2 linked regions of the Caenorhabditis elegans genome follow. The protein of the gene in region 1 purifies or fractionates together with the protein of each later gene. This does not show direct contact. Each region holds a gene or a part of one and is shown on either strand. Other genes may lie near its edges.

Region 1 (7,769 bases):
ACCGACTGCACATGACTTCGTGTGTGAGAAGCACTCGGCACATCTCCGGATTTTTATCTTGTCCTTCGTATGTGATAGCCTAGAATTTGATGTGATGACTTTAATGGTGTTGTGTGTTTGGTGCCTATGCTCATTTCGCGCGTTTTTGTGCTCGCGCGCCGATAAACTTGGCGATGCTTCAGACAGAGCTTGCCTTTTTTTCTGTCCGTGCCAGATAAAAATGATGAATGTGAAAGAAGCTTCGATGAATGCTTATACATAAACGGGCTTACAGTAGGCAAAATTGAGAAAATATTGGTAAGGGAATTAGGCGCATTTTATATGTGTATGTGGAATGTGTTATAGATCTAAAAAATTATCTAGCAAAAAAAATATACCTGTTTAGTGGAACTATCGATGAGCCGAACAAACAGATCATGCTCACTGCGGATTCCTGAAAGAAAAAAAGGTTTGCAATTTTTCCCATTAGTTAGATTTTCTTAGATTCCAACAACTCACCATTCTGAAACATTAGAGACAGACGATAGTGTATCCCATTTCTGGTATCCTGACCGTCAACTTCTTTCTCTTTTTCAACAAATCCTGCAAACTGAGTCCGCTCGACTTCAATCGGCTGGCTGTTACGGTCGTACAGTGCAATGACAAAGTGAAAGAAGTTGGATTTACGGAGATTGTTTGGTGGGTGCTTTTCGAAATGAGCTCGTGCGATTTGAGTGCTGAAGATAAAAATTTTGAATAAAAAGTTTTGAAATGTTGTTTACAATTTAATTTGTTAAATAGAATTATTTCAATTAAAAATACAAAAAATATATAAATTTTCAGTATTGTTTCTGGAGAAATGAATATTTCACCAGGGATCAAAAATAAGAAAATTAAAAACTAACCTTGTATTCGACGTGTCGATGATTGGCCACGTGCTCCGCTGGTTCTCATCTTTTACAGACCTGAGTAAGGTATTCGAGTCAGGAAAGAACATTTGCACAGCCAGCGGCCCCTCGGGAACCGGCCTCATTAGACACAGATCCACAAGCGTGCTCGGCAGAGCTTCGCAAGCTCCGCCTACTGCGCACTAGGGGCCAATGGGTGGGCACACAGTAGGAAAAACATTGAGGGGAGAGTAGCTAAAAAGGAATCTGGCGACGGGCCGATTTGACTGCGGCTCCGGCTTTACTGATGTTGGAGTAACGATGAAGCACAGATAAAAGCATAGACAAAGTTTTGGTTTGGCGGGGAGAAAACCCAGCCAAAAACATGTGATGAACTAGGGGGTGCTTCAATTTTTCAACTCGGTGAAGTTGGGCTCGAAAGATAATTATTTCTCGTGCTTCTCCCATTGCGATCTCATTTAAAACGCTACCGACTTTTTTTTTTAAGCAGATGAAAATTATATATTTTTCATGTTTTATGAACATAGTAAATATTTTGTTCTGTTACGTAATCTTGGCTAAGAGGTTCCCAAAAATCAAATATATATATATATATATATATATATATATATATATATATATATATATATATGCTTATTGAATGTATTTTCGTTCCGTAATAAAACTGTAATTTATTTTAGAAAAAACATCTTAACCATATTTTGATACTTGTGTAAAATTTGATAATGACCAACCCTGTACTATTTTTATTTTTAGGCCTAAAAATTATAATTCGATATGCAAACGAAATATTGTTTTCAAAGTTCAGATCCGCCATGAAACATTTTCAAAAAGTGTACAAAAAATCTCATTACGAAAATGGGTTTAATTTTTTAATTTAATTTAAAACGAAAATGGGTTATCTGAAATTCCTAAAAAAAACCCTTAAAAATATTTTTTGGGATAATGCTATTTTGTTATTGTATAGCTGCTATTATGAAAAATTTTTATATTTCAATTCCCTTTAGATTTCGTGATCTAGACAGTAATGTTATTTTCTGAGTTTTTGATAAATGTTTTGAACGAACATTTTTACGAACATAACAATTAATAAAATCTACTTTTCGAGTAGCTAACATAAAATGCAATTATCTCTTTAATGAAATGAAACAGACTTCATGTTATGTTTAATAATTGATTATTGGAAATTGTAATATTTGTTGTATAAATGTTCAGAAGACGATTCCTTGTCTTTGCTCCTTTGCTCCTACGCCTTCACCCATTTCAGAAAAAAAAAACTCAACACAAAAAGTGAAGCATTCTACTATCTTTCCCAAACATGGTGATATGTGGTGTGCTCGTGGGCTCCTCACTTCACTCTGTCATATATGTAAATGGTTTGAAATCCGACAAGACAGCTGCGAACTCGTATAACTGGTATGTGTGTTTGTGTGTGGGTTTGTGAGTGCTCTGCCCCGTTTTCGAAATATGCAAATATTTCTGGACTAGCAATAAGAGATATATAACCGAAACGCGCGAAACGGAGATGGCCTCTCTCTGTCCACTTGTTTCCAGTTATCAGTTTGTAGCCATCTACGCAATTTGTAACATCTCAATAGCCCAAATCTCATCATTCACCATGTACGGGATTCTAGATTCGGAAGGAATTGAGAAATTTATGTAAAAACAAAATGCTCAAATCCAAGCAGAAAAATGAAAGAAATATGGATTACAAAAACGTTTGGGAACAACAAGATGATGTACTTTTTGAATTATTTCTAAAAGTTCATCTTCAACATCAGCACCTGAATCATAACAACGTATGACGCTATAGAAATGACGTTATACTTACTAAGTTAATTGTTAATTTAAGTGTTTCAAACATAATTCTAGACTTACTAAACTCATCGCCAATAAAGCTCAAGAATGTATCGCAAGCCATGAACACCTTACAATTTCCCCTTTGGGAATGAAATCCCGCTAACGTCATCAAAAAAAAAGGAGTTGGGTCTCTTCTATTTCAAAAGTGTCGTCCTAGAAGTTCTATCTTACCTTTGAAGGTCCGCAAAGACACCAGAATTGCTGAAAAGCAAGGATTCCAAGGTTTGAGTATTCATCAGATAATAATATTAACGCTCACCAAGCAATACTAATAAGAGTGGCTGTTATGGACAAAAAAGAAGGATGATAGTGGCTATCAATTCCGAGGGTGGGTTGTTAGGCAACGAGCCCGAGTACGGCTAATTGAAGCAAAGTCAAAAGAGAATATACAACTGTTGAGTTTGAGGATAGACGGAAAATATTATGAGCGAAGAGATATTTAGCTTGTGATAGCTAGTATACAGCTATTGTCATAGATTCGTTAGAATGACTAAAACTTTAGCCAATAGTGCATTGAGAATGAGGAGGCTTTCAAACATAATAATGAGGTATGAATCACCTTAAAGATACACATTTTGGTATTCAGGAATATGGTATCAAAATGTTTTTAGAAAATAGACAGGTTTAGAAAAGATGCTTACAAGGTGTATTTTTGTGATTTAGGGGGCTCATTCCTAGTTAAGAAATAGTTGTATATCTATGTAGTTGTATATTATAATTTCCAGATTATTTAACCCATTGAATGATATGTTTAGTATGAAGTATGCTTGGAAATAATATTAACCTAAGCTCAAAAATTGAACAAATTTCTTTGTAATGGTTATTAATGAATAACCTAGATATGATGGCATATAATACACAAACACCTAATCCTACAGGGTGGTCCATAATTATGGACTTGTTTTTGAAATTGTGTACCAAACGTAATAAATTTGAATTAACTTCTAGTAGAACCTCTTCGACTTTTACTAAGACAAATTTAATTAAGGAGTTACGTCTGAACGGTATCAAACCCAAAAATAAATAAATTTTATTTTAACAACTTCCAGTATTCCGGAGCCTCAGATCAGTACAGCTCCCATACCAGATTCTCTTTATTTATTTATTAAGATTCTGCTCAATTTTCCAGCATCAAGTTTTTCAAGGCAGCCTAAAAAGCCATGTAAAACAACTTACGGTTGAATGTGAAGATTTAATACAGGATTATAAGGTTCATCATAGAAGTTCATCTGGCCAGCTCTTAGCGGAGCTGTCAAACTCATGCCACAGTTTTCGGATCAAGTGGGAGGCAACAACACCAGCTACACAACCGACTCTGCAAAAGATTAATCTCTTATATGTCACAAGCGGTTTGGGTCCGACGGCCTCCCGTCCAAGTACGCCTGATAGATGCAACAAGGAGAGGAATAACGGAGCGAGTGTGAGGATTGAGCCAGCTGACTGTGAATTATGGTTATGGAGATATGCCTGATTAGCCGGAAGGCACGGCGCGAAACTTTGAAAATCTCTACAGCAAAAAAATGGGGGGGCAGCTGGGGGAAGATTGTTCGCACCCCTTTCACGTTCAAGCCTGGTGTGGTGGCTCACCAAAAATATTACAGAAAATAGTTGTATGACACACAGAAAAGTCAAGTGAAGGATTTCATCAATCATCCTAGAAAGCATAGCATACCACGCCTTGGTCCTCTTTTGTGCATACTTCTTCACAATCTTCAACAATTGAGACGTGAGAGGTCAGACAGACAACACTGAAGAAGGCAACACAAAAAAAACGGAAGAAGCACAAAAAAATAAAGAGATGGGAGAGGATGAGAGGATAGCGAAGAAAATTGATGGAGATTCGTGTGTCCTATTGCAGATTACGGTATCTGGAATCAAGAATGTAGAGTGTTTGGCTATTTGTGACCATCTTCTTTTAGGAACAAGCCAGGAGCCAGCATTTGAAGTCGTGCAAGTGAAGTGTAATATTGCTCATAGTTATCAACTTGGCGAAGTTATCACAATTGCTTTGATAAAACATTTATATACACAGAATATTGTTCTCAAGTCGGTATTTTTCTTTTCACTAAAGCAACGATGTTTCAGATCTACCGTAGTTGCTAAGATGTTTCCAGGTGTGAGTGAGTGCGCAAAGTTCGTTTTCAGGGATGCTGGAATTATCAAAAATATTTATCATGGTGTTGAATTGAAGCTGAAATATTATTATATAAGTTGTGTTATATTGGGTTTTATTTTATTTGTAGTTTCGGAACGCGAGGTCTTGTAGCCACTTGAATGCATAAGGTTTTTCTGCAATTAAAGTAGGTATTCAGTTGTGTTGTTCCAACTTCAAAAAAAAGTTGCACTGTTGTAAACTGGACCCCATAATTATGAACCACCCCGTTTGTATAAAGAATATTGTTTATGCACGTGGTGCCAGGCTGTCCCATCACGGTTTGATCTACAAAAAATGCGGGAATTTTTCTCCCAAAAAAAAATGTGACGTCAGCACATTTTTAACCATGAGAAATCAGTTGAGAACTCTGCGTCTCTTCTCCCGCATTTTTTGTAGATCTACGCAGATCAAACCGAAATAAGACACTCTGACACCACGTGTTTGTACAGTTTTCCAGTATTTGCAGTTTGTAATACAAATATTAAATACAATAACATAGCTTTAGATTTGTTGCATTCATTTGAAATTTTTTCTGATAATGGTGGGGAAATTAATTCTTCCCTTTTAAAAATGCTTGACAGAAATATTTTAATACACAGCTTCAATCGGCAGACTAAACTTAAAGAGCAGGTTTACGACAGCGTTGTTTTTTTTTTCTCGTCCTTCTATTTTTCGACATCGGAACGTCTTGTACCATCCAGCACTTATTTCACAATGTCAACTCACTTTACATATCAACGCTCACGAAACAAAATTTTACGACTGAAACGCTGAAACGACTGAACTGTGTGCTTGTAAAATTTCCTTTCATTATTCTATAAAAGCGATGCTCGGGCACTGATAGTGATTGCCATCATCATTTGTGCAATACGAATGGCGGCGCATCAAATTTTACTCCTTTGTTTGTTACTACTATTAGCGCCGTTGCGGAATGGACAAACCACGCCGACCACGAGAGCCCAGGCCGATTTGGTTAATCAACTGCCAGGGACTATTTTTCAGGTAATAATACATTTTATATTTTTGTTTTTTGAAAATATGTATGCAGAATTATTTTATTCCAAATTTCTGTGTTTTTAGGTAAAATTTAAACAACTAAAAAAGTTCGCAGGTTGATTAAACACATTACCTTTTAGGTGAACTTCAAACAGTATGCGGGTTACCTCAACTCTGATCCCAACAAAAACTACAACAATCTTCACTATTGGTAAGTTCAAGATATTAATCTAAACATTTTATTATCTGGATACTGAACCTTGACTACCAAACAAAATAAAACAATTTCAGGTTAATCGAATCTCAACTGACCCCTTCCAATGATACGCTCCTTCTTTGGATTAATGGAGGTCCGGGATGTAGTTCAGTTTTCGGGCAGATCCAGGAAATCGGCCCATTCCATGTGTCTAGTGATAGTCAGACGGTGTATGAAAATGTGTTTGCTTGGAACAAGGTGTCCAATTTGCTTGCCATCGACGGTCCGGGCGCCGGCTTCTCATGGCAACAAAATCTCTTTCAAGACGACAGCTACGTAACTGGTGCTCTTCTTAACGCTCTCATGGATTTCTATACGGTGTATCCAAATATGCTAAACTCTGATCTCTACATTGCTGGTGAAGGATACGGATCTTTCTTTGCTTCGTCGTTGGTAGAATCTCTGATGGTGAATAACACTCCAAGACCGGACATTGTTACCTCTCCAGTTAATATTCGAGTGAGTTATCTACAAAAGTTGTTGCAACACTATCAGATACATTAAAACAAATTTTATGAGTTTCTATTTATTCTTATCATAGTTCAATTCTGAAGTTTGCTGGGAAATTTTAAAAATGAAATTTTTGAAAAATTCAGGGACTTCTTCTTGCAAATGGTGACTTGAGTGCTCGCCTCCAATACAACAGTCTCATCCCATTCTACTACACTCATGGATTTGCCGGATCAAAGTTGGACCTATTTTTCTATCATTTATCATTTTGAATTTATTTTCAGACAATATGACGATCTCAAATCAGTTTGTTGCACAAATGCTTCCACCCAAACTTGCGATTTTTTCAACAGTAACACAGCATGCAGAACCAAAGCTGACAACGCAATTGCCACTTGGTCAAATTATCAGTACGTGGTTTTTGATCGTTTTTAATTTGGAATGCACACTTGATTTTATCACTTGTGAAATTGGGAATGGAAAGTCATCAAAATGAGGGGAAAGTGCTATGGTCACAAAATATTAGAGAACAAAGACCAGATTGCAACAACGCAACAATTTAAAATTTTAGAGCCAATAAGATAGTACTTACAAGAAGGGGGTGTTCTGAAATCAATGTAAATTAAATTCATTTTAGCCTTTAGTTTGATATTATCGATTTACTTGATCACACAGCTACAACTAGAAATGAACTTTTGATTTTTAGAAATGAACTTTTGATACAATTGATTCTATAAATTTACTGACCATCTATTTGAACACATGTTCAAGCTTTTAGTCATTTCCATACTTGAACATTCTGTATCAATTTGGTTTCAGAATTGACAACACAAACATCAACGAAGACTGCTACAGAAACCAAGCTGCATGGCAAACATCCTTCAAACAACTTGGAATTAATGTATTGAACATAACGCTTAACGCTTGACATTAGGAAGTAACTTTCAGGCAGCTGTAGATAACTACAACTCAACGGACTCATTCAGAGGATATCCATGCTTTGCACTTTCAGCCACCGCCGCTTATTTAAACAGACAAGATGTTCAAGCTGCACTTCATGTTAGTGTGAATGCAAGTACAAACTTCCAGACTTGCAGGTGAGCAGTTTGCATACTATGTAGTACTTAACAATAATATGATCAGAAATCTGACATACGGAGAACTC
Region 2 (8,013 bases), on another chromosome or scaffold:
GAAAGTTCCTAGATAATTTTTGACATAAAATAACCTAATTTCAATAACATACACGCCCCCTTTCAACTCCATAACATGTTCGATATGGTGCAGGATCTCTTGATGAAGATGTTGTTGATCGCCTCTCAACACTTCCACTTCTGTATCGTAAACTGGAACTTTCTCTACTTGAATATGACATTTGTCTGAAACTTGGTTAGAGTCAAAACTTTGGAAAATTTACAAATTTTCGTAAAATTTCTGAGAAACTCAGAGTTTTCTTGCATGTTCGAAGTGCAAAAATGTCAAATGTCAAAATATGAATAAGAGATGAAAATCAAGCGCAAAGTCAGGTTTTCAAACATCAATCTTTTTGAACGTTATTTGTTTAATCAAACTGTATAAACTTCAAGAAACTTTCTAGAAAAAAGAATGAAATAACGGCAAACCGGATATTTGTGGCATTATTTTTGCTTGAGTTGGATTTCAAGCAAAAATCTTCAATCATTTTCTAGCACGTCAAGTAAAAAGTAAAGCTTTCAAGCTTTTGCACCTCCTGATACGAATAATGAAAACATCATTAATATTTTAAACCTGCAGAAAAAATGGTTTTCCTGGTCGACTCTCAAAACTATGACCGATGAAAACTAAGTAATATCCACTTTATGGTGGTAAATAAACATATTTCAGATTACGCTCAAAAATATTTTATGACATTTGACAATTTGAGGATTATTAAAGTAATTTTAGCATTTTCCCCACTATACCATCTTTAATAAAAGAAAACTCAGTTTTCAATGTGATAAAGTGATATAAGAAGAATTGAACTAAAGGTGAGGGAGTATAAGAAACGAAATGAAATTGTCTTCTTTATCTTCCTGTCTCCTCCAGAACACTTTCCCTATCTTTTCAATTCATTTTGTGGTGCTCAGTGAGCATTAGTGCGATGTACAATCTTCAGAGACACAGAGACAAGACACAGGAAGGGGTTACAACCGCAATGAGCAAAATGTTTCGGACATTACTTCAAGATTGAAAGACGACACCTGACACAACACGACCTCTTAATGATAATATTGTTCAAAAAAAAAACTATTGGCATTTCAAAATGTACGATTCGACGATGGAATATCTTGTTCACACACTTTTATATATACCAGCCGTTCGCACACGCAAAGCGCGTGCTCCGACTGGCGTACGCTAAATTGTTTTAATGAATTTTAAAGTGCTAATGTAGCATTTTTGTACAGTTATACATTCTCCTGGAGTTTTGCGGACTTTCAAGAAAATTCTACAACTTTCCAGGTTTTTCTTTAAAAAATTCCCAGAACTTTTTAGAAAATTCTAGAACTTTTCGGATTTCTTCAAATTTTAAGCGCTTCCAGAATTTAATAATATAATTTTTCTAGGTGCTACAAGCTTCCAGTTTAATCAAAAAAACTGACCTCCAGGCATATAAATGACCGCATTTTTTATTGGGAGATTTATTTAGTTTTCGTAATTTCAAAAATTAATATCTGACTTAAATTGAACTTTTTTGAAAATGTTTCTTCGGGGACTTGTTTCAAATTTTAAGCGCTTTCAAAATTTAATAACAAAATTTTTCTAGGTGCCAGAAGCTTCCAGTTTAATCAAAAAAACTGACCTCCAGGCATATAAATGACCGCATTTATTTATTGGGAGATTAACTAAGTTTTCATAATTTCAAAAATTAATATCTGACTTAAAATGAACTTTTTTGTCGAAGAATTTTTTCAAGAAATAATTACTTGAAGTTAATTCAATGTTTTACTGAAAACCCATGTTAAAAGTATTAAAACTTGCTATTGAAATTTTATCTAGAAAAAACTATTTTTTGAATTACCTCTGCTATGGGGGAGGCAATTGTGCGGTGGAGCGCACTTGCCGCCCATTTATTATTTTTTGGCAGCAAGGTTTTCTCCAAAATATTCTATTTTTTAATGTTTTCTTTTGTTTTTATTGAATATTTTGCTCTTTATATATGCAAAATTTTGATTTTACCAATTTTCATTCTTTGAGGTTCTTCAAATCTACAATGTGGCGTAGTTTACCGAGTTTGGTGTCTTCGGCTGTTCGGTTAGTTGATAAATCGAAGTTTGTTGAATTCCAGTTAATTTTTGCTTCTTTTAGATCACAAAATGCCGTCAACACACGATTTTCCAGTACAATGAAACAATTTTTCGATGATGAAGCGAATTTTGGAAAAGCAGAGCTCCGCCCGAAACATCGGCCGGGCAGATCGTGGACAGCAGAAGAACTGAGATTAAAAAGCAATTCAGATTTGCATAAGCTTTGGTAATTTAATGGCAATTCGGTTTTAAATTTATTAAAAATTTAAATTTAAGGTATGTGTGCTTGAAGGAGCGAAATATGCTGATAACGATGAAAAAAGCGCACACTTCACGTGCCCGGAACATGCCAAACCCAGAGAGACTTGATCGTGTTCATGAGGTATATTTTAAAAATTTAATAAATGCAAAATGATATATTTCAGACAATGGATCGTATAGAATCAGTAGTTCACGAGCGAAATGATGCGGTCTTCCGTTTGGAAACTGGAGAATCCGCGGCTCCACGCAAGAGAACAATCACTTCATTCGCTGGATTTACATATCAGTGAGTTCCTGATAAAATTAATTTTTTTAAAATAAAAATATGTTCCAGAAAACAAGCCACAGAACACTTTGCACCACCTCAACTCGGCCAGAAAGAATACGAAACTCCATATCTCGACGACGATGCCTACGTGATGCAGAAGCTTTGGCAGGAAAAAGAATTCATGAAAAATCGAGATAGATTGGATGATGAGAAGAGACGAGCGGCACGAACAGAAGACATGGACAGATTCAAGAGAGGAGCTCCACGAGTTTTCAATCGATAAAAAGTTGTTTCTAGATATTTTTTTTGTTTTCGAGTAGGCTTTTAAAAATGTTGTTTGCTTTGCTTCCTTCCTCAGTTTATTTAGTTTTTCAAAGAATATCCATTGTTCTTTTTTCTTGATATTTTGAAATATGCAACGGGTTTTGTCAGCCCATAGTTATCTGATATTACAAAAGGCTCCGTGTTGTTCTCATATTTTTCATTGAAAATCCCTTGATTTACATAGGAAAAAAAACCTAATTTTTAGCTGAAAAAAATTTAAAAAGTGGTAAAAAATTACCTGAAAGTTGTCTATTATCGAACTATCAAGCTATATTTTTCTGAAAACGGCCAGTTTTGAGCACTTTCTTGATTATTTCAGCTGGAAATAATTTTATTTTCGGAAAAAAACCAGTGATTTTCTATGCTTCTGATCATTCTCATAACTTTTTATTCTTAACGTAATTTTAAGCCCACAATGCACTAAATCGGCAGAAACATCTTTGAAAAATGCTCCAACAACACGGAATTAGTTTTCAAATGAATGCCGATAGACAGAACAAAGCAGCCACAACTTCCAATCGAATAGTCTCCGCTCCAGCTACAAATGAATTTGACGAGCGGCATCGTAAAGTTAGTATTTCTTCTCCTTTAAACAATTTTTAAGGAAAAAAAAATCATATTTCAGCAAGGGATTGATGCTGCAAGAGCTCTTGCTTCACAATATCGGAGCCGAATTACGGAAAATAGAGATGCAAATCAACGACAGGCTGCTCGAGAACTCAGCAGGTAGTTTTTTTTTTAAATAAAAGTCAATAAATTAAATATATTATTTTCCTCAGATATGTTCGAAGTGAGCTGAAAGACGAGCCAAATACTTTTAGTGATGCTTTCCTGAATGCAATCGATGGACGAACAGATATAGCCTCTCAGAGTGCAATTTATAATTGTATGAAGTCGAATTCAAATATCGATCAGAAACGAGCCGGTATCTATCTCATCGTGTGCTTAGCTGAAACTCATTCTGGAAATGTTATTCGATATGCGAATTATCTTCTGAAAATGTTAAATAATGGAAATGGATTAGATGAAGATACAGTCAAGATGGCTTCAAAAGCTCTCGCTTTTCTGATTGCGGTAAGTAATTTAATTTTTTTTAAACCAATTTTAAACATTTGCAGACTTGTAAATCATACGCGGCCGAGCTGGTTGATCGTTGTCTTGATCATTGCCACGAATGGCTTGGTCAAAATGTTCCACATAGTCAGCAACCCAAAAATCAACAGGAAATTGATCAAATTCGTCGACTCGCCGCTTCACACCTCTCTCGTGAGCTCGCACTGGCCACACCGACAGCATTCTTTCTTCGTGTAAACTTATTTTTCAAGTATATCTTCAACGCTGTCAGAGACAAGAATCCAGCTGTAAGAATCGCCGGAATTGATGCATTACACGTGGTTTTGACAATTGTTTCACAGCGTGAAGCAAAGAATAAAACTGAGTGGTTTAAGGTGATCAATTAAAATTTTGATCTTTCGTTAGAATGATTTTATATTCCAGAAATGTTTCGATGAAGCACTGGAAGGTCAACCAAACCCATCGCAAAAGGACGATTTGGATAGATGGCATGCCGTCGCCCTGATTCTCAATGAACTTCTTCGAATTTCTGATCAACGATTCGAACTCATCAGATGTGAATCCTCACAGTTTATTAAACAAAAGTTTTTGAAAGAAGACGAAGAAGAAGGTGTTGAATGGCTTGTCCTAACTAAGTAATCGATTCTTTTTCATCTATTTAAAAACTTGTATTTTTAAGGCAACAAACTATTGTGGAAAGTGTGACTGCTCGAAAGCTGGTTTTGGAACGATTTCCGAAGGTAAAAGCTGAAATTCTTCATTTCCCGAAATTTGTTATGTTTTTTTCCAGATACTCGATTGTGTTCGTCAGATAATACCTCTCGCAAACAAAACTTCATCCACGAAACAGCAAAGCTCGATTTACCTGAATACAGTTCTCATGCAGCTTCTACCAAGAATTTGTGCATTTCCACAATGTGATCGAACTTTTCAAACAATCTCATTCGACACTTCATTTACTATGTACGTAGAATGGAAGAGGACTGATGTTTATGGGCTTTTAGCTTTTATAGACTCGAAATGCGCTAAAAACGAATTTTGTAACGAGACTCAAAAAAAATTATGGTGATTCAAAATTTCCAATAATGTTCAATTTTTTCAGTCTTCAAAGAAATGCGGTCGCTGCTCCAGCAATCGGAATGATGATGCTCTCGAATCCAGATGTACATGCCACACATATCGAGAAAACAATCAGTTTTATCTCTGCTGCTATCAAGTAAATTTGAAATTAGTACACTTTTTTTAATAGTTAAATTTTGTAGAAAAACGACGAATTCTGATGTTCTCGATAATTATTTCACATTCCTGTTCCTATTTGTGGATGCTTATCACGAACAAGTGACGACACAAATCAAGGCAATAATTCCACAATTAATGGATATTACCCTGTCTCGATCGCTGGCAAACGTGCTAAAAATGATTATGATGAGAATTCCGAAACTGCGGCTGAATGTTCAAGATGGTGTTATGGCTTCTGTCTATCAAACACTCACTGGATCTCTAATTCCACCAAAATCCGAACCGATTGGAAGGCCTGCGAGTCCTAAAGCTATTTTGCAGGTTTGTTTCGTAGAGAAATTTTATAATTTTGCTCGAAGTAATTTTTTTGAATCTGAAAAGCACATAACATTTTTTAAATAAAGATCAGAATCCCATCAGATTTAAAAACGCTTACAATTTTATCTTTTTTGAAATAATTTTCCGTCAAAGTTTCGACATTTTTCTATATTCGAACCAAGGGCGTCGTTAAAAATTTGTATGATTTTTCGCTTTTTTCAGATATGTTCGAAAAACAAAAGACAGAGAAGCTATAAATTTATCGAAATTATCTTTTGAAAAATAGAGAAATGACCAGAAATTTTTCGAAATTTTTGATTTTTGTTTCCAGAAATCGTAAATTTAAAAGCCGAAAAATCGAAAAAAAAACCTAAACTTTGCGGGGTTTTCAAATATTTTCATAATCAGCAAAATAAGAAAATAGAAATGGCGACTTTTTAAAATTTAAATTTTTCGAACAGATTTCCTATGATATTTTATCATGTTAGCATTAACAATGGTTTTAAATATATTTCTCATTGGCGATATTTCTGTTGTGCAAAGAAGTAAATTCAAAAAATCTCAAATGAGAGTTTTGGGGTTGTATTTATGCAAAAGATTTATATTTCAGAAAGCAGAAACCGATCCAAAAGAGCTTCAACGAATCGTGCTGGCTGTCGATGTGCTCGGTGAATTCTATTTCTCAAGAGGTGCCTTGCAGAGAATCATGCAATACGTTGCAGATGTACGTTCGAAAGTTTTCTCGATTTTTCTGTAATTTTGTGGTTTTTCAGTACTACTTGACAGCGGACAATGTGGAAATCCGTTTGGCTGCTGTCTCTTCGTGTTGTGAAATGGTCGTACCATTTGTTGGAGTTTATAAAAAAGTTACAAGTGACAAGAGAAATAGTCTTCTTCAAACTATTTATGGTGTGCTGCGAGCTGTTTGTTCGGTTATTGTTAATGATCAAGGTAGGTATTTACTCGAAACTACGGTAACTGGTCGAAACGAGAATTAACCGCCTTTAAATAGCACTGTAATTTTAAAGTTTTATTTTTTTCGAAAATCGATAAACGAAAAAAATTGAATTTTCAATAATTCTTCTAGTCATCTCAATATTTTGGATTCATCATTTTTCGAAAAATCTATTTTTTTATTGTCTCGTCCGAACATCTCTCAATTTTTCTCGATTCTCAAAAAATGACAATTTCCCTATGATTTTCTGGAAAAAAGTCGGAAAATTTTAATGAAAATTCCGTAGCAACAAAAGTTTGAAATTACAGTACTCCTTAAAGGCGCATACCTTTTTCTATTAAAACAATTGTCGTGTCGAGACCGGGTACAGTACTAATGGCGCAAAATTGTGCTCCTGATCAAATATTCAAAAATGTTTTTAATTTATTTCAGATGTCCGTGTCAGAATGCAAGTAATCAGCTGTTTCGGACAAATGCCACGGCCATTCCTTGCTCATTTGGCTCAACCCGAAATGCTCGAAGTACAATTTATGGCTCTTCACGACGAAAAACTCGAAATGCAGCAAGCATGTGTGACGTTACTCGGACGACTCGCAGAGCTCAATCCGGCACTTGTTTTGCCACGTCTTCGATTGATGCTCCTAGAGACATTGAGTCAAATGCAACAAAGTGGTCAGGCAAGATTGGAGCAACATTCTGCGAAAATGATCGCGCAATTGGCGAAACAGAGTCCAAAGTTCATGAGACCATACGTTGGAAGTTTAATGATTGCTATGATTCCAAAATTGAGAAATGATCAAAAAGTTAGTTTTTTTTTGTATAAAAAAAATTTATTCCAAAATATTTTCCACAAAAAAGCTAAGAGGTCTATTTCGGAGCAGCTTCTGCGATTTTCCTGAGATCATCAGCTGACAAGTCACCCAGTTTTTCGTAGCCACCGTCCGCTCCGTCTGATCCATCATTAGGTTTGGCCTAAACAAAAAAATTTATAGAAAGATGAATTACGGTATCAAGTTAATTAAAATTTCCTACATTAGAAGCAATCTTTGATGGTTCACGAACTGTATGCATCATGGTATTGGCTCGAATTGCAGTGTGCATGCAGGAATCATCTGTATTTTTCGAGTTTTTTATCACAACTTCCTGTGTCTCCTGTGTTCGAGGACTCTTCTTATTCGCCTTCTTCTTCCGCTTATCCGATGCCTTCTTCTCCATTTTCAGTCCATCTTGTTTCTGTGCCTTCAGTGATCTCTGCTTGCTTTTCTTATCACTCAAATTCTTATTATTTTCTCCTAAAGTTGGAAGTTTTCCAGGCTTTGAAACATCCACAACAGCATCTTTTGATCCTCTTTTAGAATTTGTTTTCTCTTGACTAATCGTCGTTGAAGTGACTGTTGACACTTTTGATGGCTTCTTCTTACTCTGTGATGGTTTCTTTTTTAGACATCCAATTACAAAAAAGATGAGGAAAATAATTGGAAGGACAACAGTGATTGTACAACGGA

What was found. Proteins that work in one complex are often made in the same cells at the same time.
Region 2: the proteins of unc-3 (region 1) and let-363 fractionate together in Caenorhabditis elegans (co-fractionation; one large-scale study listed by BioGRID). This does not show direct contact.

What each region holds. Positions count from the first base shown.
Region 1 is NC_003284.9:14,769,831-14,777,599, reverse strand, and holds the start of unc-3 (Transcription factor unc-3), read right to left. Parts: upstream 4,063-7,769; 5' UTR 4,010-4,062; coding exon 3,924-4,009; intron 945-3,923; coding exon 885-944; intron 717-884; coding exon 499-716; intron 434-498; coding exon 378-433; intron 80-377; coding exon 1-79. Other genes in the region: Y16B4A.2 (Carboxypeptidase), read left to right, coding at 5,776-5,904, 6,039-6,109, 6,190-6,613, 6,751-6,842, 6,889-7,014, 7,424-7,505, 7,553-7,701, 7,748-7,769. UniProt on the Caenorhabditis elegans protein: Transcription factor. Involved in motor neuron fate determination and maintenance, acting as an activator of gene expression in a subset of motor neurons. May act in concert with GFI1 homolog pag-3 in motor neuron fate determination.
Region 2 is NC_003279.8:5,242,412-5,250,424, forward strand, and holds the start of let-363 (Target of rapamycin homolog), read left to right. Parts: upstream 1-3,331; 5' UTR 3,332-3,369; coding exon 3,370-3,492; intron 3,493-3,547; coding exon 3,548-3,648; intron 3,649-3,701; coding exon 3,702-3,996; intron 3,997-4,040; coding exon 4,041-4,370; intron 4,371-4,419; coding exon 4,420-4,631; intron 4,632-4,675; coding exon 4,676-4,736; intron 4,737-4,786; coding exon 4,787-4,959; intron 4,960-5,098; coding exon 5,099-5,212; intron 5,213-5,258; coding exon 5,259-5,556; intron 5,557-6,163; coding exon 6,164-6,277; intron 6,278-6,326; coding exon 6,327-6,504; intron 6,505-6,940; coding exon 6,941-7,311; intron 7,312-7,322; exon of another isoform or gene 7,323-7,375; coding exon of another isoform or gene 7,376-7,480; intron 7,481-7,540; coding exon of another isoform or gene 7,541-8,013. Other genes in the region: mrpl-47 (Large ribosomal subunit protein uL29m), read left to right, coding at 1,982-2,076, 2,131-2,295, 2,346-2,451, 2,495-2,616, 2,665-2,881; B0261.5 (uncharacterized protein), read right to left, coding at 7,376-7,480, 7,541-8,013. UniProt on the Caenorhabditis elegans protein: Serine/threonine-protein kinase that regulates the mRNA translation machinery, probably by modulating the activity of translation factors such as eIF-4G and eIF-2. It may have some protein kinase activity instead of lipid kinase activity.